4 linked regions of the Struthio camelus genome follow. The protein of the gene in region 1 purifies or fractionates together with the protein of each later gene. This does not show direct contact. Links are inferred from orthologs where the notes say so. Each region holds a gene or a part of one and is shown on either strand. Other genes may lie near its edges. The genes, in order: SKP1, CACYBP, FBXO9 and MTUS1.

Region 1 (7,192 bases):
CAAAAATTTCTCCATCTGAACTCTGCAGTTTAATTGAAGGCATCTACAAGAGAAGGACAGTTATTTTCACACAATATTCTGCAGACACATTACCATGCAAAGATTAGCTGCCTTAAAGCTGTAAGTTACCTTTAATATTTATACTGCTTCTTACTTACAGCAAGCAGTCCACTGTCACTCACGCATGCTCAGACTATTCACTGTTTGGATCAACAGGGCTAAATTCACTAAACCTGATGTTTAAGAAATTAATAGAAAGAAGTCTAACATTAATTCAAACAAGCCTCTCTCAAATTTAAAAGCACGAGAGAGCCATAAAATGGATTAGCATCAATAACGCTTATACTTTTGCGGTCCAACACTAGAGCTATCTTTCTCTTGAATTAACGTGGCACAAACACTTCCAAAACACCACTTGTTTTCACATCCAAACAATTGGTACTCATCATAACTAACTGAAGTCAGATCCAAAAGCAGTTTTCAATTTCTAGCTCTTGGAACTAAGTCACAGAATACTCAATGTTGGAAAGAACCTCTGGAGATGGGCTAGACTCCCCACACCTCCGCTCAAAGCGGGGTCAACTGACCAGTTACTCAGGATTGAACAATTCTCCCTCAGAAAAAAGCTTGGCTTTCTGAGGAGATTAAAAACAAAGCAAACATACACACAATATACCACCATAAGGAAGGCTTTCAGCACCTTACACTACTCTTTCAAAGTAGGAAGTTGCATCAGCACCTTGTTAGCATTAAGAACTATTAAGACGAGTAAGTATTTTAACAAAGTTTTTTGGAACAAACAGTGATACAAACTACTATACAAACAGCAGCAGACTTTAAAGATTATGCCATCAATAAACCAATAGTCAAGTTTTCCTAAAATGCATCTTTCCAGATACTCAACAACTCAAAAACAGAACTAAGGGACTTGATACAATAGTTACTAGGTTACAACTTCTGCCTGAAGCTACACATAGAAGTCTAATTGGGGATCACTGCACTTCAATCAACTGACATGAAGGACCCAGATAAACACAACTGCCTGGTTGCAAAAAGTTTTATAAATCAGATCTTGACAGGCTACTGGGATGAGTGTTATAATGCATTCCTTTACCATTCAAAACACTTCTTAGCAGCAGACCATTACAATGATTTAGTTTTCTCACAAGCTATTTGCTTTAAAAAAAAAACCACCTCTAAAGCATACATTTATAGGTGCAGCCTGCAACTAATTTTTAAAGAAAAATTCTAGGGACAAAGAATTATCATTTTCACACATTCTCCCTCTGCCCGGCTGAACATCTACACATGCTAGCTCCTTAAAGTGGTAACCTGAACTACTGAAACCGAAGGAAGCCGCACTACTTTCAGCTAACTCATGTTATCCCTTTTTAAGGGCCTTCTGTAGCTCCTCAGTACTGCTGAGCTGGGCAGTACTGCAACAAACCAAGGCCAATGGAGGCCAGCCAACATACGTTATTAAGCAGCTCACACCAGCTTGAAGTCCTCACTGCTTTAATTTCCATTTGGCAGAGCCACTAGCTAGTTAATGTTTATACAGTAATGTAACCTTATATGACAGTGCTACTTCTAATTAAGATGATGTGTGTTTTGGAGGGACACAGTCATGGCTGTTCCTTTTATATATACACATATATATTTATGTATATAATATACACACATATAAAATTAGGATTAAAACATGGTCGTGAGTTTCTGGCTTGAAGGATGCTCTGAAAAAGACATACAACTGCACATTTCAGATTTAACATCTGTTCTTGCAGCGACAGGCTAAGAGCACTCAAGAACAAATCTAGTTTGATATACGAGCTTTCTTAGGCTCGTGGTATCTAGGATTACATAATGCTGCACAACTGAGCCAGTAAGAGAGTGATGCTATCTCAGGAAATTTCACCCCCATGAGAATATTCGCATTAAGACTCTCGTTAGGGACCTGAATCAGGTAGAATGAAGCTAGCCTACTGCTTTTTTAACCCGTAACAGGTAAGGCCTTTATCTAAATTTTATTATTTCTTACCACAGAGCAGAGTCTACTGGAAGAAAATAGTCCTTTTTAACGAACTGCAATACAACTCTGGAAACAGATAGGCCACAGATAACAACACAATAGGGTGACTAAGCAGACCAGTCCCAAAAGCTGTATCTGACAGCATCAAAACACGCCGGGAGCCGGTCAAGAGACAAACCCCAATTACAGCGGCAACCGGCAGGCATAAGCCCGAAACGCAGAGCCCAGCCCTCTACAACAGCGCGACTGGGCAACTGCACGCCTCGCGAAGCTGTTCAGGATGCGTGCCCGGTCCCCCCCAACCCCTCCGTGCCGCTAGGTGAAACGCCGCGGCTATTTCCTAAAGCCACGTCCGAGACCCTCGGCTCGCGTTTCAGCTGCGCCAGAGACACCTCCGCGCGCCACGAAGGGGGGCTCGGGGCCGCCCGAGGAGCCCCAGGTGTGTGGGGGGGGGGGGAGGAGGAGAACAGGGGCACCTGCGCGGCCGGGGAGGGGCAAGGCCCGGCGGCGCCGCTCCCCCGCGCTTCCCTGAGGGCCCCGCAGCCCCGGGCCGGGGGGAGGGGGGGAAAGCTCACGCCGCCGCCGCCGCCGCCCAGGCCCTCAGCGGCCCCTGGGAGCACCGCGGCCGCTCTCCACCGGGCGGCCCGCACCGGGCCGGGCCCAGGCGGCTCCCATCAGCGGGCAGAGCCCCTCCCCGCGCCCGCAGGCCTCACCGTGAGGCGGCGGTGGCGGCGTCCGGCTCCGCGCTGAGCGAGACCTGGCGGCGGCGGCGGCGCTCCCGACCCGACTGCGGCGGCGCTTTTATGTGGCGGCGGGGGAGGGGTGCGGGAGGGAGGGGGCGAAGGACCCGCCTCCCGCTGCCTCGCAACCGCCGGGCTGCCCGCACCGGCCGCCTGAACAAAACCTCCCCGCTTTTGCTCCCGCACCGCGCAAAGAGGGGCTGCAAACAGAAGCGGGCCCGCGCCGCTTCCTTCGGGAGTGGGGAGGGCCCAACCGGAGCGGAAAGGAAGCGAGGAGGAGAGGGCGCGGGCCGGCGGGTCTTTCAGGCAGGCGGGCGGCCGCGCCAGGAGCCTCACAATAGGCCGCGGGGGCCTCGCGCGGGCCCAACGGCCGCAGCGCCCCTCCCCCCCGGCGGGGCCGCCCCCGCGTCCCTGAGGCGCCGCCGCGCCCCGGCCCGGCCCCGGGGCAGAGGGGCACCGGGAGGTGCGGGGAGCAGGCCGGGCTCCGTGCGCCAAGCGGCCTCGGCTCCGCGCCGTGCCCGGAGCGCTCGCGTCGCTTCACGGCGAGCGGCGGCTCCAAACGGGCCGCGGGGGGCAGGCGCGGCGGCCGCGCACCTCCGCGGCGCCCTGTGCGTTGCTTGTGCTTAAAAGGAGCAGCTCAGAGTCGTCCCAACCCTTCCCTCCCCCCCCCCCCCCAAATCTTTGGGTATTTTCGTGCCACTGGAGTTTCCTAACGAGAAAGTTGACAAACACAGCGCAAATACCACAGCAAGGGTGGCTTGAAGTCAAGAATTACGTGTGGTTAGCTCTCTGTTAATCGTCTTCGCGTTTCCCCTGCAAAAGCCATGACATGCGATCTTCAGTGGCCGCTCAGGGAAGCGGCGCGAGGCGCTTTGAGCTGAAAATTGCACCGAAAACCACGGAGCCCAGTGAAGGACCTGCAGAAACCGAAGCTGAGCAAGGAGCCGGTGTGCAGAGACGAGGGCTCAGGCCTATGTAAATACAGCAAAAGCGGTGCTCTGTTAGCGCAACAGCAAACCTCAGCTGTGTACCCCGACACAGGTAAGATTTTCTAAAAGGGCGAGGGAGGAATACGTGCCAGAGTGACAGGTATTAGGTTTTGAGGAAAAGAGCAGGCTGAAGTTTTTCCCTCAGCAGGGACAGCAGACAGAGGTACCCCCTCCAAGGTACCTGGAGTGGTTAGCCTGGGTGCAGCATCGCACTGCCACAGACCGTATTTGTGCCACCCCGGAGTGGCTTTTAAGTGGTCGAGATTGTCACAAACAGGGTCTGACTGTGCAACCCTGTGCTTTATTCCAAATCTTTGTTGATGTTTTTAGAACATGAGTATGCTTTCACAGCACTGCAGCATATACATCTCCAGTCTACCTGTAAGCAAAGTGGTAGCACCAGCACTGCGTTGCACTGCCGAGCACAAACACACCGTAAGTCACAGCTTGCCCTTTTCTCAGGGGCCCAGGTTACGTGCCACACTTTATTAAACAAAAAACAGTACTACTCACCAGAAAATACCTTCTAACCTAATAAACTAAAGAATTTCCTGGGAATTTAGAAACGCTCAGTTCGAGAGCTTGCTTGCAGACTTGAATCCACAGCCCAGGGTAGCAGCCCAGCCCCTAAGATACTCAGTCTTCTTTCCTTTCTTTGAGATGTGCAGCTTTGTATAAATTAACAAGGGACTTAACCGGACTTAACCTTTAGTCTTCTACTTTCACCGGAGTGACAGAACCAGTGAGAATGCAACTATTAGAAGTATTTAATCCAAAACCAGGAGCAGGTTCACTTTACACAGAGAGCCTCGATAGTGTTCCTCGGAGCCTGCTGGTTAGGGCTTGCCTCTCCAGAGAGGTGGGAGACTCAGGATTATGGATTCTCAACCAAAAAAAACCTCTTAGGGCTCAGAGGACAATTCTACATTGTGTCATATCATTCAAATAGGTTTTTAATAGTTCCTTGGAATTTTATAGAGAGAAGACTGCTTATTTTGAGAATCTTGTATGACAGGCTTCAGGATGCCGAGCAGCTCATTAGTTGTGGAGCACTTGAAGATGACTGAGCAACCTGATCTAACTCTCAAGATGGATCTAAATTCAGAGTTAACCCTGCTTTGAGCAGGAGCCTGGTCCAGAGGACCTCCAGTGGTCTCTTCTGACCTAAATTATGCTATGCTTCTCTGAAGTGTACTTCCTACCAGCTGGCTGAGCATCTGAAAGTATCAGGTGATGCTTATATATAGGAGACTTTTGATACTAACAGAGGCTCCTCAAGATCCTGGTGTTGGTAACTAGACAATCTGTTAACCATTCACTAGGACCTAATTATCTAAAAAAAGGAAGCCTCCGATCTGTGACCTTTTGATTATACCATATTTTCCTCTTTCCTCCTCAGTCACTCCATCTTGTACACCAACCCTGAAAACTACATTCACTGCATTAAAAATAACACTGCCTTTATTTCCCCCTTGCTTGTTCTTTTTTATTTACATTAAAACAGCTTGGCTAAGAGGATCAGATGACAGAAGGTGGTCTGCGGGCAACATATCTGCAAAAGCAATAATCCTAAATCCCTTTTCCTGCTGCTGCCAAAGATCAAGGTTTCCAATTTGGCTTGTGATCAGTAACTATGAGCTCACTCTCAGACTGGGAATCAGATTCCGTAGAGGGGAATGGGGGTTGCTCTCTACAGAAGAGGAATCTAAATAAGTCTCGGAGCAGGCAGAAAGCTAAATTCCATGCTTACTTATGATCTGCGAATGAGTTATAAATTTAGAGTGATACTGGTGATGACATGCTTTATATTTGATCCACCTGTTCTAAAGATGTAACAGAGAAAATTCAGTCCACAGTGGACTTTGAATTTAGCTGTTGAATTAGAAGTATGGGAAAGTTACAACAAAAACACCACACCCCCTGCAACTGGCATAAGATTGTCATAGATATATTATGATCACACTGACAGCTACCTCCCCACTGTGCCCTACATATCTCATAATGAACCTCCCAAGCTAGTCTAGATGCTCATTATCTTTGCCCTGAAACAGAAGCTGCTGCAGAGTTGATAGCCAAAGTCCTATGAGTAAGTCAATATTAGTAACACAAAAAGACCCATCCTTCACTAAACCTGCAAGGCAAAGAAGGAGATTTTTCAGAAGATGGGTGTACCAATTTCAATTGTTACACACATAGGTAATCTTTCCAGTGCAAATAATCCTGAACCGAAGATTTGCCATTCGGAGCCATATAGATAATCTTACTCCGTATCAGCCACAGATAAATTAAAAGTAAGGGCCTTTTACCACAGAGAATCCAGAGGAGGAAGGGGGGTGGGGGGAGCTTAACCCTAATGCAAATACCTGAAAAGACTGCAGCAACCAAGATCAGTGTAAGCTTGATTTAACGCTTATCAGATCCAGAAGAGCTCTGACCTACATACTTGCAGCATCACTGGGCTGCAGGCAGAAGCTAGCTGAATAGCTGCACAACTGTAGGGGGAAGGGAATTTTCACCAACACACTGGCAAAAACATGGCATTAGAGACCCGAGTGCAGCCTCCAGGACAGAGCACTGGATTTACTCCCAGAACTTGGATTCTATTCCCGGCTATTTCTCTTGCCTCTTAGGTAAAAGAGACTGTTCCCCCAGCCCAAGTGCCTCACGGTCTCCATTTCTGCAGGCAGAGAAGCTGATTTTTGTTGCTGGCGATTCACAATCTATGGAGATCACACACTGTAAAAAGACAGAGTATTTTTAATATTAGAAGTGTGCCACAGGATTGGCAAAGCCTGAGAATCAGGCTTGAAAGACTTCTGTATTTTGTTCCATCGGTAACAAGCTTGAAAATTTCATGGACCTCAGTTAGGAAATCCTGAGGATAAGGCAGCCCTGCAAAGACTGAACTCAAGGGTCCAGAGAGCACAGTTCTGGCATAGAGAGCTAGGTGCTAGAAAACAAGGGAGAAGGTTGGAGCTAAACAAGAACCTCATCTGCACACAGGGGAGATGAGACTTGCAGCAAAAACACTCCTTTTGAAGAATGTTTTTGAAAGCGAGCAGGCATATCAATAAGGCAAGGAAAATTAGGACTAGTTCACTGTAAAAACAGAAAACATCACAATTATTCGTCTGAGATAATATGGTAGAAAGATAGCGCTGGGGCTCAAAGACACATGCCACTGTTCAAAGCAACCTTGCAACAAGCAGCCAAACAAGGAAACAATTCTTGCCCCCACTACCACTCTAGAACACTCCTGAAGTATCTCCACTTCATCAAAAACTGTACGACAGTAGCATCTTAAGAATGTAGTGCTTTTCATCCAAGTTGTACCAGAGCAGTGCAAGACATTGGATACAGTGGGAGATGGGAGTCCACTTTTTAGATGAGAGTCTAATCTGACAGCGATAGACTGACAACATTCAAAATAACTA
Region 2 (6,909 bases), on another chromosome or scaffold:
TGACTGTGTCTGTAGTAATAAATAACTACTGTACCAGGTCTTCAGACATAGTTTACTCAAGTTGGTTATTTTCAAGCAGCACTACTGTACTAAAACACAGCGATTTAGCAGCCTAGTCATCCAAAACGTGCGAGTGTTACAAAGCTAATTTCAAACTGTTGGTATAATGTCCTTGTTCACAAGAAGCAACCTGTTCCACAAGAATCTGACAGACATTATGTGGGAGAGCTAATAGGTCACGTGGGTCCTCTTTTCCAAATGTTAGTCTGAAGTTTACAGCACAGAGAACATACTGATCAATATGCTTCCCCTGAAGGCTGCTGATCTAAAAGATCGGGAAATACGAGCTGTTCTTAAGGACCCGATGCTTCAGTGGAGGTACACAAGAGAAACAGGCAAGCGAGCAATGACACGTCTAGAGGAAGAGAAGAATCAGGGAGCAGAAGGTACCAGCAAGAAACAGAAAACATATTTATAACAGAAGCATGGCTAGGCAAGAACAGGACAGAATAAAAGTTCAGTATTCATTAAAGTTAGCAATTAGAAGAATTCAGATACTTTATAAAACCAGTTTTCCATGTGAACAATAGATAAGAGTTGTTACAGGGATTTTTTTTTTCCTATTTAGACGAACAGCCACTGCTGCCTGCATAACTGGAAAAACACACAGCACTTGAGAAGAAGATATGAAGCCATAAGGGTAGAAAAGCTGAAGATAAATATTTTTAACCAATTAGTTTACCAGAAAATATATTGCTTTTGATTAACTTCCACATCACCGTCCAAAGACTGTTTGCCACCAGTTTCCATCAGTTCCTACAGACAAAAGGAACGGCTACTGCAGGCTAGCTAAGGAGGCCAAACATCCTTTCGTAGCCCTTCCAGATGCTCTCTTTTCTGTCCCTAGAGCCAATGACCATTGAAAAACAATATACTGCACAGTGTTTTGTCATCCAGAGAGACTGGATCCGGGTCTTTCGGTTGAATTTGACTATTCCCACCAATCCGCCTCAAGGTCCTTTTTCCCCTTCCTGGCTCAGGAACTGTTCCGATTCTTCTCTCCTGAGAGGAAGACCTGTCACTTGGCAACTTGTAAAAACGTGCACAGAAAACTAAGTTTGTCAGGCTTTCTCTTCGTTCCGACAAGGGGGAACGCAGCATCTGGATGCTACTGCAGCTTCATGCAGAGCAGTGTGGAATGTGTTTTTACATGAGACAAGAGATACACTCTTCCGCTTGTAAGCTGCCACTCAATGGGAGTGCCATGGGCACTGAAAGGCTCGTGACTTAAGGATACAAAATAAGCACTGGTTTTCAAAGAGCCTAGCAAGCGACTGAATTACAGGCTCACTTGCACATGCATTTATGTATTGGTGAAACATGTCATGTTTTCTCCTCTATCCAGAAATTAAATTATAAAGCAATATCAATTTAAATTCTAAAGCTATGAGAATGTCCTAATGCAAGACCACAACTGAGAGGGGAAAAACTCGGAGATTAGTGGTTCAGGAAACATCACAGAAAAGCTGCTTCTTGTCTTAGTGGCTGCTCAGCAGAAAGATCATAAGGAAACAATTCCTGAATATGCAACTGCTCTCAACAAATTAAATAACCATGCCACGGAAGTAAATTCCAATTGCCCATACTGTAATTTCCAGATAAAAATCCACTAGCCCAACTTCAAATGCTATTGCTAAAGATCTACAGGATGACGCTCAGTTCTGTGAAAATTAAACAAAACTACAGAGTTAGTCGTGGAGATTTTTCCTGACAATTTCTCAGCTGCAGCTCTTGAAGCACTGGACCAGAGGGGTATGAGCAACATTTCAGTATATGCTATTAACATTGCATTGTGACATACAGCCTTGCAAGTCCTCAACTTCAGATTTTCTATGAATCTCTGATCTAATATCCTCTTACCTACCCCCACCAATCCCCTGCAAAAAAAAAAAAAAAAAAACATTCACAGATTATTTATGTTTACCTTAGAAGCGGAGAGGAAAAAAAACCCCTAAGCCCATAAATTGGAGAGTGAGCTGGCATTTCTCAGCTCAGTAAATTAAATGTTAAAACCGGCAACCTCTCTTACAGAGAAATCTACTTTTTCAGCACTGAGTGATTGTATACTCCTTTGTGTTCCCATTTTTATGAGGACATTTGGAGGCAAAAGTTGACTCTTCCACTTACCTACTTATAGAAAGATTTCCATCAGCTTCTTTTTTTCTGGGAAATTTTAATGCCCGACTGGGACCTGGGAATACAAAAGCCTTTTTTTTTTTTTTAATTATTAATTGATTTACTAAAGGTGGTGAGAGGCACCATGAAATACTTTCTCCCTGGACCAACTGTAACTGAGGTTGTAATACTCAGGAAGGTCATTTCACCTCTTTTCTAAAGGCACAATGATTGACTCCATATTGCAATTGAAGTGGTTGCTAACTTGTTGATGCCTCTTAATGAGAATATAATCACTAACCCTCACCACAAAATTTCTGGCTTCCAACTACTACTTCCTGGCGGTAGGGGGTTCTGTATCACTGATAATCTTTGACTCTGTAAACTCAGCATGAATGTAAGTAGCTTGCTATAGATGAGTCTAAAAATCACAAAAGGATTCATAGTTGGTAATTTCCTTTTTGAAAACCCTTACCATAAAGCTGCATAGTATTTCCAGAAGAAAGACTTAACTATTAACAAAAAACTCAACCATCTAAAAAAAAAAAAAAAAAGCTATTCAAAGCATTGCAGTTCCAGACTCAGTTTATGTCAGCTCCTTACTCCTAAACACACGCACAAGACAACCTCTGCCATTTACAACACGCAAGCTTTCCAACCTTTGGTGCACTGTAAATTGATGAGGTTCACTTATTACAAAGGCTGCATACGTTCTAGGTTACTTTCTTTTCAGAGTACCTCATTGCCAAACATTGGCCTGAGTCGGGTAAGGCAAAGAGAGAGAGACGAGCTGCTGCTGTTGGCATCATGCTGGCATTGAGGTGACCTGCCTGTTGACGCTTTTATGTTTTATGCAAACAGCACTCTGGGGCTCGGTTTAACTGGCCTGATCCTTTTATGTGCCCACAGCTAACATAGCGCAGCTATAAAAGAGCGCACCGTTGCTCAAAAAAAAAGACAAACCAAAGAACAGTGTTTAATACAAAAGCTCACCAACGCCAATTAGAGCCCAGCAAGCACTTCAGGCAGGAGCTTGAAAGCTTTACTGGCACTTAAAGAGATTCTGGCACACCAGCACATGTGGCTGTTTTCCGTACATGAAAGACTTCCTTACCTAGCGCAGGGTTACAAAAAAGATTGCAATATTCAGAAAAAGCATATTTAGGCAGGCTGTTTACGGTCCTGTTTCCCAATTACACTAAACACAGACGGAAGGGAGGAATCCTGATGTCAAGACAGAGACTCGGCGAGGCCCTGCCCAGCCGGGCACACAACGCGTACGGGCAGCCCGCCGAAGGCGCACGGAGAAGCGCGGCCCGCCGGTTCAGCCCGCCACGAACTCTGCCCACCGGCCGCGGCCTCCAGCCTCCTCAGAGACCGCCCCGCCTCTCAGATCGCTGCCTCCCCGGCCCCCAGCCACCGCCAGGGTGGCTCTCCCAGCGCCGCAGCGCCAGGCGGCAGCGCCAGGCGGCAGCAGCAGCGGCAGGCGGAGCCCTGACCGCCCGCTTCCTGCCGTCAGGGCGGCGCGCCCTCAGCCGGTCGCTAACGGCCGCGTAACGGCCGCGCCAGCCCCGCCCCTCCCCCCACGCAACGGGGCGCACGCGCAGCCCCGCCCCGCCGCCTGACGCGTCGGCGTGTCACCATAGCAACGCCCGTCCGCCAGTGACAGGGGCCGACAGCGGCGCGCCCCTCTCCTTCCGCAGGCGGAAGGGGCGGGGTTGGCGAGGCCGCCTCGGTGGGGGGGGGGGGAGGGCGCGTGACGCCGTTTCCGGCGCGTGAGCGCGGGGCGGGGGGAGGGGACGCGGCGGCGCGAGGCCGGGAAGGTTCCAGAGGGGCCGGTGGGAGCCGGAGCCGCCGCCGCCGCCGCGGGGGCAGCAGCGCCGGGCACGCGCCGCGCCATGGCCGCCGCGCACGAGGAGGTGAGGGGCGGCGGGAGCGGGCGTCGCGCTGAGGGGCCGCGAGCGGCGTTGGGCGGCCCCGGGCCCGGGCCGGGGCTCAGCACAACTGTGCGGCTCCTTATTTACTTATTTATTTATTTAATTATTTAATTTTTTGGCGCTGCCCCTCTTTCCCGAAGCCTTGGGGGTGGGGGGGGGGGATGCGCGGAACCTCTTGTTTTTCTTTAGGTGTCTGCCAGGTGGGTTCCGGGCGCCTCTCTTTTGCGGTTGAGCTGCGATTGCGCCAACGTGCAATTAATTCGAGCGCTCTCAAGTTAAAGAAACGCGAGAAGTTTCAAACATGGAGGGAGAAAAAAAAAAAACACGTTTCTGTGCCGGTCTGGTTATTTATTGTAATATTCCTCTCTCCTGAGCAAAGCTAGTGTTTCAGAAATCCCTGAGGATCAGATGTTTATCACGTTGAGTATGTCTGCCCCTTCCTTGAATCGTACAATTCTACAATAAATCGGTCACTTAAAAAGGAAGCGCAACCTCTTGTCGTCTCCCCTCATTGAGAGTTTCAGTGCTTTTGATGCTATTGTTCTACATTTGTTAGATCTTAGAATAGAGAATCTTATTTTGAGGGGGAAAGTAGGTTAATGAGGTACAGTGAGATGTTGCTTTTGATTTATGTGGCTGCAAGGGCTCAGTGGCTGGTAATCTGGGGCATAAGAGACGTTTACCCCCATTTGACCTTTTTCTGAGTCTTCCGTCTGAATATTTGCTCAGTGCTATAGGTCTGAGATCGGGCAGTACGTTTTTAGCAAAATCCAAAACCTGTTGGTGTTCCAAACGTTAAACTTTTATTAATTTCCCCTTTTTTTTAACTGAACGAAGCTTGAAGATTGAAATTGAGCAGTTAAAACCTTAGTGGCCGTGGAGTAAGGGACAGATGGTTTCACGCTGAGGAGGGTATAAAGGGAAGTGTAACTTGGTTTGCTGAATCTGTGTCTGAAACTAATAGGAGTGAAAGAGCCCAGTGGTGTGAACCCTGAGTAGAAAGAGGGGTATCTAATATGCGTGCACGATCTTTTATTCTTAAATCAGTTACAGAAAGATTTGGAAGAGGTTAAAGAATTGCTTACGAAAACCACGAGGAAGCGACTTCGTGATGTCCTGATGACTGAAAAACACAAGCTAGAGATAGAACTCAAGAATCAGCCTCCACCAAAGCTGAAAGCAGATGCAGGAGAAGAAGAAAAGTCATCGCTGGGAGGGTATACAGTGAAAATAAACAACTATGGTAGGATTGCTCTTCTACACAAACGTTAGAGCTCAGGCTTCTGTTTTGAATAGAATGCAGGGTGGTATTAAGTGTGAGTCTTAGTTGCCATTTAGCGTTACAGAGAAACATTCTCAGATGTTTATACCACACCACAGACCCCCCCCAAAAAGCTACTTACTTACAGGCTTACTGCTCTGTCCCAGCCACAGTTCTGTTTGTCTGATAGCTTTTCTTTACTGGAGGAACACGTTAATGATCCCCGATGCACCTACTAGTATTTTTCTATTGCCTAGTGCTTAGCAAGAACGAAAGACTGAGCTTTGGCTTCTCTGCTCGCCATGTAGGTAAAAGGAGAAGGAATTGCTTAAGGTACTTGTCACGTGGAAAGTATAAGAAAAAGTGGGTCAAGGAAACGGCAGGAAAACCAGGCATCTACTTCTGACTTTTCTGAGGAAAGCTAGAACTTTATCTTTCTCACTTGCAGGTTGGGATCAGTCAGATAAGTTTATTAAGATTTACATCTCTCTAAGTGGAGTCCAGAAGCTCCCAGCTGAGAATGTGCAGGTGAATTTCACAGAGAGGTGAGTTCATATTTTTGCCCCATGCCAAGAAGGAGAGCGTGGGTGTAGAGCATTATCTGAAATGCAGGAATGTGTTGTGTTGAATTTTGCTCTGGGTTGCTGTGTCGTGTTTTTTTTATTTTTTTAACTTTAATTTTATTAAAAGTATCAGCTTATTAATTAATTGCTTATTAAAGTATTAACTTTTAATAGTACTTGAGTACATACACTTACATATAGCTCTCCTTAGTGGGTGTCAGAGTATTTTAATTTTACAAATGCTCCTTATGCCTCATCATGCTTGATAGCATATGTTACGTTAGACCTATTTTTTGATGGTGGTAGAACTGAAATGTGGATTAAATGAACCTCCCTCCTTTCCAGGGTCATAGGAGCTCAGTCAGGTAGATGTTAGAATGCTAAAGATCTTGATTTGTTGTGAACTCTGCATAAGTCCTTTTAAGTGCTCAGTATTAAATCCAATAGAAGATTTGAAAGCCTGTTGGCTTGCTTTCCCAAGAAACGTGCCTGCTTAATGGTTTTCAGACGTTGTGTTTGATGACAGGGCTGAATAGTCTTACACTGCTTGGAATTTTTGTTTGTGCCTTTCCTCCCCTCACCTTCTGGCTCTAGGTCATTTGATCTGCTAGTGAAGAATCTGAATGGGAAGAACTACACCATGACCTTCAACAACCTTCTGAAACCCATCTCTGTGGAAGGCAGCTCTAGAAAGGTCAGTCAGCATACCTCTTCTCTTGTAGGTACTTTGTAAAGAATCTGAATATCTCTGTATTCGTAGCTTGACTCCAGTTCAACAGATTGAGCATTAACCTGCAGTCCCTCCCTTCTGTCTGTAAAGTCTCTTCAGTGTAAACGTGACTCTCATTAATCTGTAGTTGTAATAATTGTAGAATTATTTTCTGGAATCCTTGGGCTTCTGTTTCAAAAGATCGCGGCCAGATACTGAAGCGTTGTTGATAGCTCTCGAACAGGATTTCAGAAATTGGTGACA
Region 3 (7,547 bases), on another chromosome or scaffold:
TTCAGTCTTTGCACAATGACTGGATAGTAACTGAGAAGCCTGGGCTTCCAGACCTCTAGTTAGATCCTTACTGCAAATCTCAAGCAGTGATAAAAAACCACACAGTATCTGAGTCTGGAAATGCAATATTTATTAATACTAAAAACATTATTTTATACAGTAACTACATTGAAGCGATGGGGCTTGTGGATTTTTCAGCAGATAGGCCCCTAATGAAAGGGTTCCGAGATTGTAATCCCAACAGATACGATGGCTCACAACTCACAGAGCATTATGCTGCCACTGGCTTACCGTTCATACGACCCTTCCCAAGGGACTGTGCCTCTGAAGTGGAATAGCATCCTTGCCTTATGTCAGATAAGCCACAGCAAAACAAAACATGCATAACAGTATCAGCACATGACATTGCTAGTAATAACCAGCAATAGCTATTATGGATAGACCATTTGGCTGATGTCTCTTGACCTGACGAAGGTGTGAAAACATAATATAATAATATAATATGCCTATCCCTCACTGGGGATGCTAATTTAAATGTCCCCTATCCTTTCCGCAGCCACTGATTTTCAGAGAACTTGTAACTGAGATCTCCGAGATCCCAGCTCAGCTGTCAAATGTGACTGAAATAGACAAATGCAAATACTGCCGGAGGATAAAGGGACGGTAAGAAAATTAGAGAGGAAAAAAATAATCTAAAATAATGACAAAAGATGTAACGAGCAACGCATGTTAAAAATACGGTAAGATGCACAGAAGTTAACAGGACTCCTATGGAAGCACAAACGCACTGGATACAGAACACATGTCCACTGGACAAAAGCTAAATAACGTCTTTTTTGGTTAACTAAATCAGCATCACAAAGCTGAGCTTACTAGCTAAACTGTTCTTTAAATATAATTTCCTTTGCAACACTTACGTTCTGTCTTTATCACCTTCAGTTGGCTCATTGTGAACTATTGAAATAAGCTAAACTTTAATCCTGCAGACTGCTTCACGTCAGTGGAGACTCCCTGAAGCCGCCGCACAGAGCTCACGGGTCTACGAGAGGCAGCTTCACACTATCACAATCGGCTTCACATTGTCAGACTCACTTTCTGGCTTCCATAATGTAAATACTAATGGCAGAATTGTCTTGGACTGGAAGAAAAGAGTGTGCTAACACTAAACAGAATTTAAAAAGCCTTGTTTTCACAATACTGTAAAGCCATTCCCCCAATCCTCCTTTCTATCTGCCCTGTAAACAGTTTATTCCACACAAGTGAACTAGCAAAGTCCCTTTAGTAGCAAGCTTTACTTCATTATGTTAAGCAGACTTTCTGAATGCAAGCGCAATTCAAAATTACTATTTTCATTGATATACGCACGCGGGGAACCTCTCTGGTGCCTGAAACGCTGCCGGGCTGAGAACTGAAAGCGAAACCGACCCTCTTCCCCCGACAAACCGGGGAACCGCAAACACACTAACCACCCAGGAAGCGGCTTTTTAACGTTTGTTCTGTGCGGTGACAGTCGTCTCAAGCAGCAGCATGCATAAAGAAAGCCGCGGCTTAAAGCGCACCTTTAAATCGACCTCCGTCTGGCTACCGCCTGCGCTTGTCACCAGAGGCTTCGGAGGTCGCAGGGGCAGCGGGGCGCGGGCAGCGGCGAGCCGCTCTCGGCACGAGGCGCCCGGGCGCCCACGGCTCACCGCCGCCCTTCCGCCGCAGCCGCCGCCGCGGCCCCTCGGCGCGCCAGCGCTCCCGCCGCCGCAGCCGACCTAAAGCAAACACACCGGACGCCCCACGCCTTCCTCTCGCGTCTCAGTGCGCCCACCCCTCGCCATCCCCTCGCCAAGCGCCGGGCAGCCTTCCCGACGGACGCCTGCAGCACCGACGCGTACTTACGACAGATACGTGGGGGGTTCCCCCCCCCCAAACCCTCCTTGAAGCAAAACGGTGCGTAGGGAGCGCACGAGGCGCTTCTAACGGCTCCCACCGGGCTGCGCAACGGCTCCCCGCGGCCGCGGCCCCCAGCTGGGCGCGGGGCAGCCGCCCGCCTTCTCCTCACAGGCGGGAGGCCGCCGGCGGCAGCGGCAAACGGTGCCCCGGCCCCGCGGGCAAACTTTCCGTCACGGCGCGGGGTTTAACTCCCCCCCCCCCCCAAAAAAAAAAAAAAAAAAAAGAGGGCGGAAATCGGGGAGGAAAAACAAGAGAGAGGGAAGCAGCACGGCGTAAGCCCCGTTCCCGGGCGGCGGCCCGGCCGCTCCCCTCCCCCCCCTCCCCGCGGCAGGGATTACGGCTGAACGGGATTACATCGTAATTAAAAAAAAAAAAAATTACAGACATCATCCCCGGATAACTGGCCTCTCTCCTATCTCTGAGAGGAGCTTAAACAACCAAGCAATACAGAAACACTAGTTTAAATTGTTAACGAGTGGCAAATACGCGTTTGTTTTAGCGTTACCGCTCAGGCCTCCATCCTCCAGGAGCTTCCGCTGCATAGTACTGCTCACAGGCTCTCATCTTTCTACCGCTGTAAAGAAGGCCTGACCCTTCCTCTCCCGAGGACCAAAAGCTCTCGCTGGCCCTAATAAGGTCAAATTAACTAATGGGGGGGGCGAAAAGGGGAGGGAGAGGCAGAAAGAAAGGAAACGAGGAAGAAAAAAATTCAGCCCCAAGTAATTAATCATCACATCCCACAGTAATAATAACCCCAAGTCTTAGTTTCTTTTCACACTTCCTTTTCATCTGGGTTTTAACAGTAAAACAAAAAGATACTTCCCAGGGCTTTACAAGGCAGAGTGAGCTGGTCTTTATAACTCAGGAGCATGCCACAGCTCCTCCTCTTGGGCAATATTTTATGTCAGTGAAAATATACACTTATTTAAAAAGACAGTCATTCACTTAAAAACGTTTGATGGAGCTCCAAAAAGGCTTGGATGTCTGGATCCCCCAGATCTAAACAGAGGCTGGTCTTTGGAACATTTACATTTGTTAAACAAAAAAGAGAACCCATACCATTAAGAGTTAAATTCCCCACTACAGACAGGCGTGCCTAACTCTCAGTGAAGCCAGCTGGAGCAGCACATACTTACGCGAAAGAGAATTCAGCTGTAAGTCATCCCTATTACATATTACATGCATATACATATATTTACAGCCAGCCTGATGACAGTTATAGCACTCTGTTTTTCTGTCGTTAAAGGCACAGCTTCTTCATTTCCAAAAAGAAGAGAGAAACATCCAGGCACGGGAAAGGCCTAATAGCTTTGATTCTGACCCCAAACAAGAAGAACCATTAGAGATGTCCAGCTGTAGAAGCGCTCACGGTCACCTCATCTCAAAATCTCTGCCACGCTACTCTCATCCCCACTGTTCATCGCCGTTGCTCCAGAGCACACACTGCAGGAGCCTGCCCGGACCCAGGCGCCTGCCGGCCCTCCAGTCCCGCTCTTCCCTGAGTCACCCCTTCCGTCACTTCCAGCCACTCCACAAGGGAGCTCACAGCCCAGCCCAGCCCCCTCCTTTTGCTACTAAAAATATTTAGGGTCGTAGCTATGGATAAGGGGGTTAACTATAGAATGGTGTACACACAGACTCTGTGTCTGTTTTTTTTTTTTCCTCTCCCTGAAGAAAGATTATAATTCAAATTAAGGACAAAAAATTATTTCAGCCCTATTTACAAAACCTTAGAAGGTATACACAGAGCACGTAATAAATCTCTTCAGGCATTGCTGAACTGCATGGGCAGAGGACACAGGACCACGAGATCCACTCGACTTCTGCAAAGCTGTTACACGCACAGCCACAGCACTGTCCGCTCCTTTGTTACCCTGCTCTCCGTTCATCTGTAGTAGCAGCCCTGGCCTGATCATAATTACACGGGGAACTTCTACACCAACACCAAACCACAGCTCCTGCTAGCGTAGGGCTGAGGGGGTACTTACACTTTTTAAAGAAAGGGTCTCTGAGTATGTTTGCTGAACAGGCAGGGCCGCTTCAAAGCGCCTGCCCACCCCGTAGCTGTGCGCACGCTTGTCCGTTTTTGCGGGCACGGGGGCGAGGCCTGCAGCCCCGCAACGCCGTCAGGCCGCCGCCACCGCCTCTGCCGGGCCGCGCCGGGCCGGGCCTGCCCTTGGAAATGGCGCTGTGGCGCCTGCCGCGGCGCAGTAAACACGGTTACTCCTTACTCCGTGCCCGGCAGCCTTCAGAGGGTTTTACTACGCGCCGCAGGCGCACGAACCGAGACGGGCGGTACGGGCCCGCTCACCGCCCAGGCGGGACTACGCTTCCCAGCGGGCACTGCTCCTCCGCCGGGTTTGACTGGCCTGGAAAGGCGCTGCTGCCCAGCACGCGCCGCTTCAGGACTGGGCGGCGCTGTGGCACGAAGACTACATTCCCCAGCAGGCAATGCGCCACGCTGCTTCCAGCGGGAGACCGGCCGCGAGGGCGTGGTGTGTACTGGGAGGAGTAGTTCGCGCGGCCGGCGCGCTGCGCCTCAGAGCGGCCCGTGCGTCAGGCGGCGCTCTGACCTCGCCGGGTTTGTCTGGTCGCGTGTCTCCGCTGCTCCTGGTCCGCCTGCCCCTCACTCGCCGGGAAGATGGCTGCCGTACGCCGGGCCCGCAGTTTCTCCCGCTGCGTGGTTCGCTTCTCCGACCGAGAACTCTGCTAATTCCCCCCCCGCGGGGAGGACGCACGGACCGAGCGGGGGGCAGAGGTCCCCGGGACGGCGCAGCGCCGCCCGAGCGCTGGCAGCATGGTGAGCGCCGGCCGGGCCCTGCCGCCGCGGGGGGCGGGGGTGGGGCGGCGGCAGCGGCCCGGGCTGAGGTGCGGGCGGGGGCGGGGAGCGGCGGGCGGCCCGGCCCCCGCCCCGCCCCGCCCCGCCCCGCCCCGCCCCGCCGCGGCGCTCCGGGCAGCGGTGGGGGGCTGAGGGGGTGGGGGCGGCGGGGCGGGAGGAGCCGGCCCCCCCAGGCCGCACCGCCCCGCCCCGCCTCGGCCGTCCCGCCGCTGCCGGCCGCACCGGGGGGCGCCCGTGTGTCAGGTGCCGCGATCCCGCCCGGCACACTGCGTCGCGAGGAGAGCGGCCGCCTCCGCCGAAGGAGTTCTGGCTGATGAATGGTCTAGGACCCATCTGGGGGCCCTGAGGAACGCGAATCGTTGTGTCTTTGCAGCTGAGCGCGTCCAGCCTTTCTCTGTCCTCCCCGTCGAAAACAGATGTCATAATGTTACTTGGCAGTTTAAAGGGCTCTGCGGGCCAGGCACTCAGTTAAGTCAGACACGCTAACAAATAATCAGGAGTATTGTTTGGTTCAGTACTGCTTCTCTACCTATTATATTTCCAAAAAAAAAAAAAAAAAGTATCCATGATGACAACTGGAACCTTCAAAGTTAACCCTGTTATGTCATTCAGGAGCTCTTAAAACTCCTTGCCACAGTGACTAAAACTTTTGTTGAACAGAGTATTGCTTCTACCACACTGACAGAAAGTCGAGTTATTTCCACTTTTCTTACAAGTCCAAGAAGAACATTAGCCACCCATCAGTACCGTCCTTGCTTATCCTTCAGTTCTCTAGAGCCTGCGAATATTGTCCTTGCTTATCCTTCAGTTCTCTACAGCTCGCGTGTTCAGCTGGTGACAGTCACCTTGGAGCTGCTTCTGATCTTAGCCTTGTTCTGTTGGAACAAAGATCTGAAATTAAACTCAAGTGGCCAAGTTCTTTAGTAACTCATTGTTTGTTGTACTGTGAGGAATGCAGCATGCTTACCACGTGGTAAATAGTTAAAACTGAGCTGTGAAAACAAACTAGCTTTGCATTGGACAAATAATCTCAAGCTTTCCAGACAAATCGGAATCAAAATGGCCCAGCTGACTTCTTTTTACAGGTCAGAGTCTAACTCAGATGTTTGCTGTTTCCATTTTGCCATCTTGCAGCTTGATTTTCTACCTCTTTTTTCATAGAAGAATTTGCACTGATTAATATATACTACAAAAGTCTAGCTTAAATTTCCAAGCAGAATGAAATTACTGATGTGTATAATAGCTGACTTGGAGGAAGGCCAATAGCATAAGGATGAACAGGTTGTAGTGATTACAATACAATATTCTGTAACCTTCAGGAACTGTAACTACGATTTAAATTTTGTCCGAATGTGAAGGAGAAATCCACTTCTATAAATTACAACCCACTTTGGATTTAGTCTCCTGAGCTGTCTGCTCGTGATGATGGCTAGTACTTCAGTACTACCTCTGTGCTTACTCAGTTGTCCAAGCAAAACCATAGGGTTTCTGCAGATCAGATAAATAGCAAACAGATTATTAACAGAGATCAGTTTTCCAGTCCAGTTAGTTGTGCGGCAGCAATGTGAAAGGACTGCTTTACTCGTAAATCTAGAGGGTTAGATAGTCACTTTTGCTGCTACTGGTGCCAGAAGAAAAGTTTTTGATTTGAGTGACTTCAGATCCCACGTGCAGTCATGGAAGAGGTAACAATGAAAATCAAAACTTCAGTTACAATCAACTTTGTGATGCTTTTTGACAGCTTTTAGACTGGGACCAGGTCTTCACAGAGTGGTGTAATTTTTACTTGGATTGAGGGGACAATTAAGTTTTAAAAGACATTGAATGACATTTTGGAAGCAGTTGGTCCAGACCGTGACCATTTGTGACTCAGGAATGAAGGAGAAGTAGGGCAGTCGACACAGAGACAAGGGGAAGAAATCAAGGCTCTGGATTAGGTTACTGAAACAGTAAGGCTTTAAACACGAGGGTTCAGGCAGCTTCACAAGCTTCTAAATAATTAAAATTCTAAATCTTACCACTACTTTGCTCTAAAATAGTTTATTCACAGACTTAATGGATTAAGAGTTTTAATGGGTGTGCCCTTATGTCCAGGAAGATAGTATGTTGATTTGGTCTAGCGACGACTTCACTAGTCCCTGCATTTTGCAGATAAAACTAGGCTTTCTCTGCCCAGACCAAGAGCTGACTGGACATCAGCCCAGGTGCAAACCAGAAGCTGTGTATCTGTGCGCTCTGCTCAGGCAGAGGTAGGCCTTATTTGTGTGAGCAGGGTGTTGTAATAACGCACTTAGAAGGCATGTGCTTCAGAACTAGCTTGTTCCTTGGCTATCTCTGTTTGTCCAGCGTAGAGGTAATCGCTGGATGCTAAAATACTGTGGTGATAGGACTACTGTAACTCATACGGCATTAATTGCCTGGAATCAAATCCTGGAATCAAAAACTGTGTGAGTCTTTTCATTAAAATACATTTCTAAGTTTTTTACTTCTAGTTCAGGCTTAACTCTTCTAGCACTTTGGAATGCTTCAACTTAACCTGGTTCCTCCACTGAGGAAATTTAAAAGTACAGCCTTAAAAACAGAGTGCAGAAACAGATGCAGTTTCTGTTTACTATAACGAACCTACACTGTCTGCATTATGAATTGTAAAAGATAATGTACTTGGACATCAATGAAAAGACGTTTACAAAGGACAAGCCAGTCCAATAAGGTTGTGATAGCTTGGGGAGCCAGAAACAAGGGCTACCTACAGCAGGACTCCAGGGAGATG
Region 4 (7,827 bases), on another chromosome or scaffold:
CTCAAAAAAGATCACAACAGAGTACATTAATCCAGGGCCTGCTGGAATTTTATCTGACAGAAGTTAGCCTCGCAATGCTGAGAACTAGGCCAAACCAGTGAACGTGAACAAATCCACAACACTGTTTTCCCAATTACAGCTAAAAGACAAGCATTATCACAGACTAAATCCACAACAGCTCTAGATGTTGCAGTGTTAAGTGCCAAATTTTGGCACCAGTTTCCCAGCCAGGAGCCTGCAGCTCTGTGCCTAGTGCCCCTGCTCCCTACTGCAGCAGGACCATTAGGTACCTGGGACCAAAATCTCCAACAGACAGCATGAGAAGGCACTTGACGTGCCAGCTTTCTCAGTTCATCTAAAGCATTTAATTCTGGCGTTATGCTGGGGCCAGGTCCACTCTTAGACATTAGCGTCTCTCAAAAGTAGAGCAGGAGGGGGGAGAGGTACTCCCTTAGCAGCTCCGCAGTAAGGCCTCACTCCCGAAGAGTCCCAAGAACAGCACTGAATCCCTATCTCACTTCCCAGGAAAATCCCTGTCACCAGGCCAGAGGCTAGGTGGGAGGAATACCCTTCATTGTGCCTGCTGTTATTCTGAACAAACTAATCCACGTTCATTGGACTAGGGAAGCAAAGCATCACTTTGCATGCAACAATTAAGGTACCTAGCTGGGAGCAGGGAAATTTGAATTTCAATCCCTGTTACAAGACTGCTTTTTTAGCCAATTACCATGTAATATTAAAGTGTACAAGTAGCCATTAAAAGTCAGGAGCAGAAGCCAAGTGAGTTCCCTAGTAACCTATTCAAAACCACCCATTTCCCTGGATACCAACAAGACACAGACTTGGCCATCCTATGCTGCTGCATTTTCACTACTATTAACAATCAAGTTACCTGGTACTAATTCAATGTATTTACACCTGCTGCAATCACATACATCATTAAAGTCAGCTATACCCCTATCTCCGGGTAGCTTTTCTTTCCAGGGCCCTTCAGAGCTACTGCTTGGAGCCTAACCCCAACTACTATTAACTCTTACTGACAAGAAAAAAATAAATATTAAAGAGAGAGAAAAATGTTGCTCCATTCTTTCCCCTCCTCACCTATGCTAACATTTGACTTATAACTTCATTTATCCCTTGATCTGTTCTAATTCTCTCACCTGCTTTATGCCTCCTTGCAGTCTTGGATTCCTTCCCCCACGTTATCTTCTGTCTTCCCTTCCTCTTCCTTACCTAAGAGCTTTTACCTTTCTTCTCTAGGATCAATCCTCTTCTCCCTTTCTCCTTTCTTTCCCTCCTTTTTCAACATTAAGAGACATGACACTTCACTCTTGATCCTACATTTATGAAAATTGCAGTGCACTGATCAGAAGAAGCAAGGAGGAAAAAAAAGCAGAGAAGCAAAAGTCATTTCACGGCTACTTAGCAGCAAAGGAAAGGGCTGTCACGAGGTTTTGATCAGAACAACTGTTTTGCCAGCAGCTTTTGATTAGAATTCCAGGAAAGGGACTTCCAAGAGCAAACTGATGCAAAAAATGTAAATTATACAGACCTTAATGGCACCTCTAGTTCCCTCTCCTTCCTTGAGAGTCCTTGGCCATTTCTTTGAAACCATCTTTGATGGGATCTGATGAACTTTTCCCCCATGTAGTGATTTCACGTGTCATCGTCTACCTGAATTCCAGCCAAGCTGAAGGTGGGAAGATTTTATAGGAATGCCAGTATAATTGCTCCCAAACTCCCTCATTAATATCTCACTTTAAAAGAATCCAGTTGTCATCTTTGCTTTTACAATTGATTTTCCCCCCTTGATTGTTGCCGTACAAAAGGCCTAGACAAACTACAAAACTAGGAAAAATGAGAGATCCATCAAAGAGGAATGGCTGCAGGGTACGCTGAATGAACTGTGATCTTCAGTGGGATAACGATTAACGTGGCAAGCTTTCAGCTGTAGCAATCAGTCGATATTTTCCAGACCACCCCTACAGTGACAAAGACGGAGGCATTTTTAAGTTGTAACTGAGATTAGCCTTGATATATACAGTTGGAGCCATGCCTGTGAACTTTGCTATAAGGCTGACAATGTAAACTATCTATCACTCAGTTTCACATGAGCAGTAATCTAATGGCACCACAAAAATCTCACAATGTTCCTCTCTCCACACGTCCAGCCACAGCAGAGGGCTTCTGCCAGAGGGCTTCAACGACAATACCAGAGGATTTGCCTTCCAAGATCTGAAGCACTGCCCATACAGACCCTCACTAAAGATTGGTATTACTCCTTCTCAGGGTGTCAAAGCCATGTAAAATGCTCAGTCTTGTAGTGTGAGAGCACTCATGCTCTAATCCAGCTCACTAGATTTGCAGTCAGATGCTAATCGAAAGCCTGTGCATAATACCACTGACTCCAGCACGCGCTGGATGAAGCCCATAAAGATGGGCAAGACTGCTTTTCATGGATAGGAATAAGATATTTTGTTTGCTACTACTAAGTTAACCACAATAAAAATAAATAGTTGTCTTTCATGTGGTGACAAAACCAAGTAATCATGCTATACTCCTTTTTTAATTATTAGGTTGAAAGATGCAGTGTCTTCCTGGCATGTTTAATTCTGAATCATATTAATCACACATATAAATAGCCAGCAACTGTAGACAGTAATGTGGGGGGGTAAGAGGCAGGGAATCAATGTCAATGATGTCAAGAAAGAATTTCACGTGGAGTCACCAAATCTGTACTGGATACAGATTCCAATACAGATACATCACGAGCCTCAAGGCTGCTATGTCTTTGTGTATTAGACATGGAGGGTAAGTTTCCCTAGCCTTACTGGCATCTGAAAGCTTCTGCTCCCTGGACTTTACGTTGGCAGAAGCTACCTTTCTGCTTTGTAAAGATGAGTAAAAGATTTTCCCCCTCTGCCTCCTGTTACGGGCAGAACACCCAGCTGAAGGCACTGCTTTTGTGGCAGATCCCCCGTGGGTACCCCGTGGCGTCAGGGGGCCTGTCATGACAGGTACCTTCACCATCAACACCCACAGGACCCCTCCGAGAAAGCCTGAACTCTGCCATCCCTCTGACCCCATGAGGACATGTTTTAGGAGGAGAAGTTTTAGTAGCACAGCTCACAAAGACGGGCAGAGGCTGTCTGCACATCTGCACGCATACTTCAAGGTACGCTACAGCAACCTTAGGTCACAAGAAACACTGGCTGCTAGAGAGCAGTACTATCCCGCGAGCCTGCCTAGGAATGACATCCCTCTTCTTTCACCTAGGATAAAGGCCAGAAATTGTGCTCCCTTCCTCTGCCTCTCCTTCCTGTCAAGTGAGGACTTTCTACAGGGAAATTTTATCCACTTCTCCTTGGAGAGGGAGACTAGTCCTCCCAAGAAAACAAGTGATGTTTATTAAGACTGTATGAAGGATTTGTTCATCTGGTGTCCTTCACGCGAACAGGATCATTTCTGACAAAAAGGCAACTTTTTTCACTCCCATTTGCTTTTAGGCACAACACTCCTCCCAAATGTGGCCGCTCTCTCCCTCCCCTTTCCCCAGGGTCCTTCAAGCGCAGGAGGTGACTTCAGGCGCAGGACGTTAGTAGAGTTAGGTTGTTTGATACAGTTCCACAAGTGGACAAATCCTGGAGGGAAGCAGAGGCCATTTACAGCCAGGAATTTAAGCACCAAAAAGTGGCATAAAGTAATACTGAGGACAGAGTGGTAAAAGGTGGAGTTAAAGCTGTAACAGTTACTATTAAATTCAACCCCTTTGTAGATGCGTAGTATTTGCAGTCTCATTCTTAATAAGCATAAACTATAAGATTAGTGCATGTCCAACATCACACAGCGCACGCCAAAACTGAGTCAGAATTTCCTGAGAACTTCTCCCTTTACAGCCACAGCATTGCTCCAGCGTTGCTGCACCCCATTACGCTGACCTCAAACACACAACAGCCCACAGCTGCCCCCAAGCAACAATTTGCATTTTCTTGCTCCCTCATTGCAGCCGGGAGCGACGGGCCGGGCCTGGCCGGGCCAGGTGCGAAGGCCCAGCGAGGCCGCCGGCCGGGAACGTGGCCCGACCTGACCCGCCGCGCTCATCATTTACCGGCGGGCAGGCCACGAGGCTGGGGCAGAGCGCGGCTACCTTGCCAGATGCCGCGACTTTTCACCCCGCGCGTGGTATGCCAAGGCCACACGTGCTTCAGAATAAAAGAAAAGAGGTTTCTGCAGTCATCAGCTGCAATTTTAAACTAGCGCACCTTGGACTAGGTGCGGCAAGGTCGCCAGCTTCGCGCGGGCAGCAGCAGGAGGCACGAAGCGGGGCCCGGCGGCGTCCGGCCGGCAGTCACCCGCCTTGGCCCAGGCCGCGGAGGGAAGGCCTGGCCCGCCGCCCGCAGAGCCCGGCACGGGGGACGCCCTCGGGGGAGCTGTGCCAGCCGGCCCACCGCGGTATTTTTAGTTGTTGGCCCAGTTCCCTGCCAGCAACCTGCGCCTCTCCCCGCACCGCACCGGGAACCCCCCCCGCCCCGGCTCCGCCGTTTCTCCACGCCCGCCCGGGGCGGACAAAAGCGCCGCCCGGGAGCGGCCCGGTCCGCAGCCCGATGCCAGGTGAGGCAGGGCAGAGGTGGGGTGAGCAGCTTCCCCCCCCAACCCGCGGGGCTGGCGCAGGTGCGGCCGGACCGGTCCGAACCGGCCCCGGCCGGAGCGGGCGAGCGGGCGGGAGCTCGGCGGCGGGGCCCGGGAGGGGGCGCGGAGCCGCTTGCGGGGCGGCTCCGGCGAGAGGCGCGGGGCGGCCGCAACGTGCGCAGGGGCAGCGCGGCGGCGAGCGGAGCGGAGGCGCCGGCGCTCCGCGGGTGCCCGCGCTTCCGCGGGGGCGGAGGGGCCGGCGGCGCAGCTTGGCGGCGCAGCGCGGGTCAGGTTTCCCCTGGCTGCGTAACCCAGCCCTACGCTTAGGGGGGCGCCTAAGCACCGGCGTAAGTACCTACTTTCCCCCCCCCCCGCACTTTAAATCTCTCCGTAACTATCCCCCCCCCCCCCCCCGGCGCGGTGCGCGGGCGCGGCCGTTTAACGGGGCGGCCGCGGCGGGGCGCGGGCTGGCGTTCAGGCGCGCATCGCGGCGTGGGCCCGGCTCCCTCCGTCCCTCAAGTTTTGTGGCTGGGCTCGTGGGCAGAGAAACGGGTCCCTGCTGCTTCCCCTCAGAGACTTAATGGAAAAAGGGTTCGTACTTCTTCTTCTTCTTCTTTTTTTTTTTTTTAACCCCCCCCCCCCCCCGATTAACCGTGCACAGCTCTCCCGGAAGGTGCAACTGGCGTTTGAGCGTTAACCCCGTTACGGAGCACAGGTGCTGCAGCAGCCTCTTTACTGCGCGCTGCCGAAGCCTTTCTTAACGGGCTGAAGTCGCTGCTGGAAGTTGGGGTGGGGGTATTTAGTTTAAACAAATTTAAAAAAAAAAAAAAAGCCGAAATTCCACATTGCCGGTGCGGCTTTTAACTAGCTGAGCACCAGTGTTGTATCTGAAATGTGTAAACTCTAGTACTGATTGCTGTCGTGCACCTGCACTGAGCAAGTCCTGCAGCAGGAGTTCAGACACTTGCAATTTTAAAAGAATATCTTGAATGCTTGCTCCTCCGTCTGCTTCTATTTTTACAACACAAGGTTGGCAAGGGCAGGAGAGCTAGCCTTTGAAAAGGGCATTGAGCTTAAACTTGATACCATTGTTCCCAGGCCAAGGAGAGAGTGCAGATTAAAGAAGGGGTGGGGGGGGGGAAGTAGATTCATGATCACGTGAATCATGAAGTAAGTTCATGACCACAGCAAAGATCAAGCATCCTCTCAGCATCTGGGCTGAGCAGGTTCTTGCTTCCGACGCAGCTCTGACAGTCTGCCACTGGGACTAAGGCTGTGCTTTGGTTTTATTTATTTATTTTACTCCTGTGGTGCAATGGACAGTACAGCTGGGTTAAACCCCACATGAGGGGGCTATCTAGAAGATCAGCTCTCATGCTGTGGCAGGTAACTTTAACTAAGGCAGTTAAATGGTCATTTCCTCCGCGTTGTAAGGCTGGTCATAATTGAAAACTTGCTCTAATTAAATATGCCATTAATAGTATACTTGCTAACAAATCAGGTAATGATTGAACTGTGGTGATTAGGTATTTATGGTTAATAGTTGTCTGCTATCTCTTTTTTTTTTCTAAATGAACTTAATACATGGTAATAACTCCTCTCCTAATGTGAGGAGAGGTGAGCTTTTCATATCATGAGAGTTGTTTTTGTGGGAGCAGAAAAACTTTGGCCTGCTTGGTTTATACCACTCAGATTTTCAAAGTGGATGATAAGGACCAGGACAGACACAGTTCACTGCCTGGATTACTTAATAAGAAAATGGGTATGAAAAATTGCTTATTACATGTGATGCGTAGTATGTTTTCCTGTGGAACCACGGTGATGAACTGTAGTGGCTGGCTGACACGACTCTATTCCAGGCCATTGGGACTCACTTAGTTCTCCTAAGGCTGATTATTGTAGACAAATAATAGATTGCTTTTTAAGCTCTGTTTTTGTTTGTTTGTAATGGTGCTTAGTTGTGCATGTGCTAGCAAAGCTGTATTTAAAATTCATATAGTCACTTTTAAAAAATACTGCAGAATTCAGATTTCTTGCTAAGATCAGACTGCCTCAGAACTGTGGTTAGAATAATTATAATAACCAGGTAGTTTTGATGATATAACTTTGTCTCCACTGGGTGGAAAAACTGCGCTAAACATAACTGTATATGGGAAGGTTCTACAGTCTGAAAATATTTGAAAAAATACTGAAGCTGTAGTAGACGTCACCTTAAAACTGACCTCAGGGTATCTTCTTAAGCAATTTAGATTAAGTAAATAGCAAGCCTTATTGTTGGATTCATAGCTTGGCTTCCCACCCCCTTATGTTTTACTTAAGCACTTCTGAGGTCCTGATTTCAGTTCTAAGACTAGATCTACAGTAATGCAATGTAAAGACCTTGACGAAGTCAAGAACTGACAGAGTAATGACAGTTTAAATACACTTGGGGCCCCCACTTCTAACTTTTGTGTTCTGTGGTTTTAAACTTTTGTCTGCAATCATGTATGAAAGAAGCAGGATTCTTTTCTAGGAAGAACAAAGATTCTACAATAGAGCTGGATTATTACAAAAACAAGTCAATTATCATGAGGCTTGTTTTTAAATGGTAGGACTTAGCATTCTGCTGGGATCTAGCGTGTCAGATAGCTTCAGATAGCTATTGATCTTAGCAGTCTTAAAAAAAAAAATAGTTGTAATGGAAACTATGGAATGCAATTTAGCCATCTGGTAATGGAGGACTAGATGGTAATAACTATACATATATAAATTTATAACATACTACATTTTATACATAACATGTTAAAGTGTACCACAACTATATTATGATCGGAGATACTTTACAGTTTGTTTTGAGGAGCCCATGTGAGCAAAAGTGGCCATGTGCCCCATAGGTTAGACCCAGAAGTCTCAGTTTCTATTTAGGTTATTTTGTTTCCTTAACTCAATATATGATATATCCTAATTCACTGTTATATCAGGAAAAACAAGAGCTTTGAAAGTTTATGTATCCCGGGAGTTCAGAGGATTACCTGGCAAGTTCCTGGAGTGATCGGGCTTAGTGCAGGAGTTTGGAGTTAAAGCTGTACAAGGTTAATGCTCTTTATTTTGCTTTACTGGGTTTCTTACAAAAAATGGAACGAGTCAGTGCTTCTTCAGCGTTTATGAAGTGTAAATGGTGGTTTGTTCTACAGTTTCTTTTGAACAACCATAAAAGTG

Evidence for each region.
Region 2: the proteins of SKP1 (region 1) and CACYBP purify together in Homo sapiens (affinity purification with western blotting; 6 studies listed by BioGRID, with this or other methods). This does not show direct contact. The link is inferred for Struthio camelus from reciprocal best matches to the Homo sapiens genes SKP1 and CACYBP.
Region 3: the proteins of SKP1 (region 1) and FBXO9 purify together in Homo sapiens (co-immunoprecipitation; 9 studies listed by BioGRID and IntAct, with this or other methods). This does not show direct contact. The link is inferred for Struthio camelus from reciprocal best matches to the Homo sapiens genes SKP1 and FBXO9.
Region 4: the proteins of SKP1 (region 1) and MTUS1 purify together in Homo sapiens (affinity purification with mass spectrometry; 3 studies listed by BioGRID and IntAct, with this or other methods). This does not show direct contact. The link is inferred for Struthio camelus from reciprocal best matches to the Homo sapiens genes SKP1 and MTUS1.

The regions. Positions count from the first base shown.
Region 1 is NC_090954.1:3,872,855-3,880,046, forward strand, and holds the start of SKP1 (S-phase kinase-associated protein 1), read right to left. Parts: upstream 3,007-7,192; 5' UTR 2,743-3,006; intron 2,096-2,742; 5' UTR 2,039-2,095; intron 44-2,038; coding exon 1-43. UniProt on the Homo sapiens protein: Essential component of the SCF (SKP1-CUL1-F-box protein) ubiquitin ligase complex, which mediates the ubiquitination of proteins involved in cell cycle progression, signal transduction and transcription.
Region 2 is NC_090949.1:5,138,282-5,145,190, forward strand, and holds the start of CACYBP (calcyclin-binding protein), read left to right. Parts: upstream 1-3,904; 5' UTR 3,905-4,073; coding exon 4,074-4,094; intron 4,095-5,159; coding exon 5,160-5,355; intron 5,356-5,821; coding exon 5,822-5,918; intron 5,919-6,530; coding exon 6,531-6,630; intron 6,631-6,909. UniProt on the Homo sapiens protein: May be involved in calcium-dependent ubiquitination and subsequent proteasomal degradation of target proteins. Probably serves as a molecular bridge in ubiquitin E3 complexes. Participates in the ubiquitin-mediated degradation of beta-catenin (CTNNB1).
Region 3 is NC_090944.1:34,360,549-34,368,095, forward strand, and holds the start of FBXO9 (F-box only protein 9), read left to right. Parts: upstream 1-4,531; 5' UTR 4,532-4,735; coding exon 4,736-4,738; intron 4,739-7,547.
Region 4 is NC_090945.1:53,757,226-53,765,052, forward strand, and holds the start of MTUS1 (microtubule-associated tumor suppressor 1), read left to right. Parts: upstream 1-4,809; 5' UTR 4,810-4,976; intron 4,977-7,827. UniProt on the Homo sapiens protein: Cooperates with AGTR2 to inhibit ERK2 activation and cell proliferation. May be required for AGTR2 cell surface expression. Together with PTPN6, induces UBE2V2 expression upon angiotensin-II stimulation.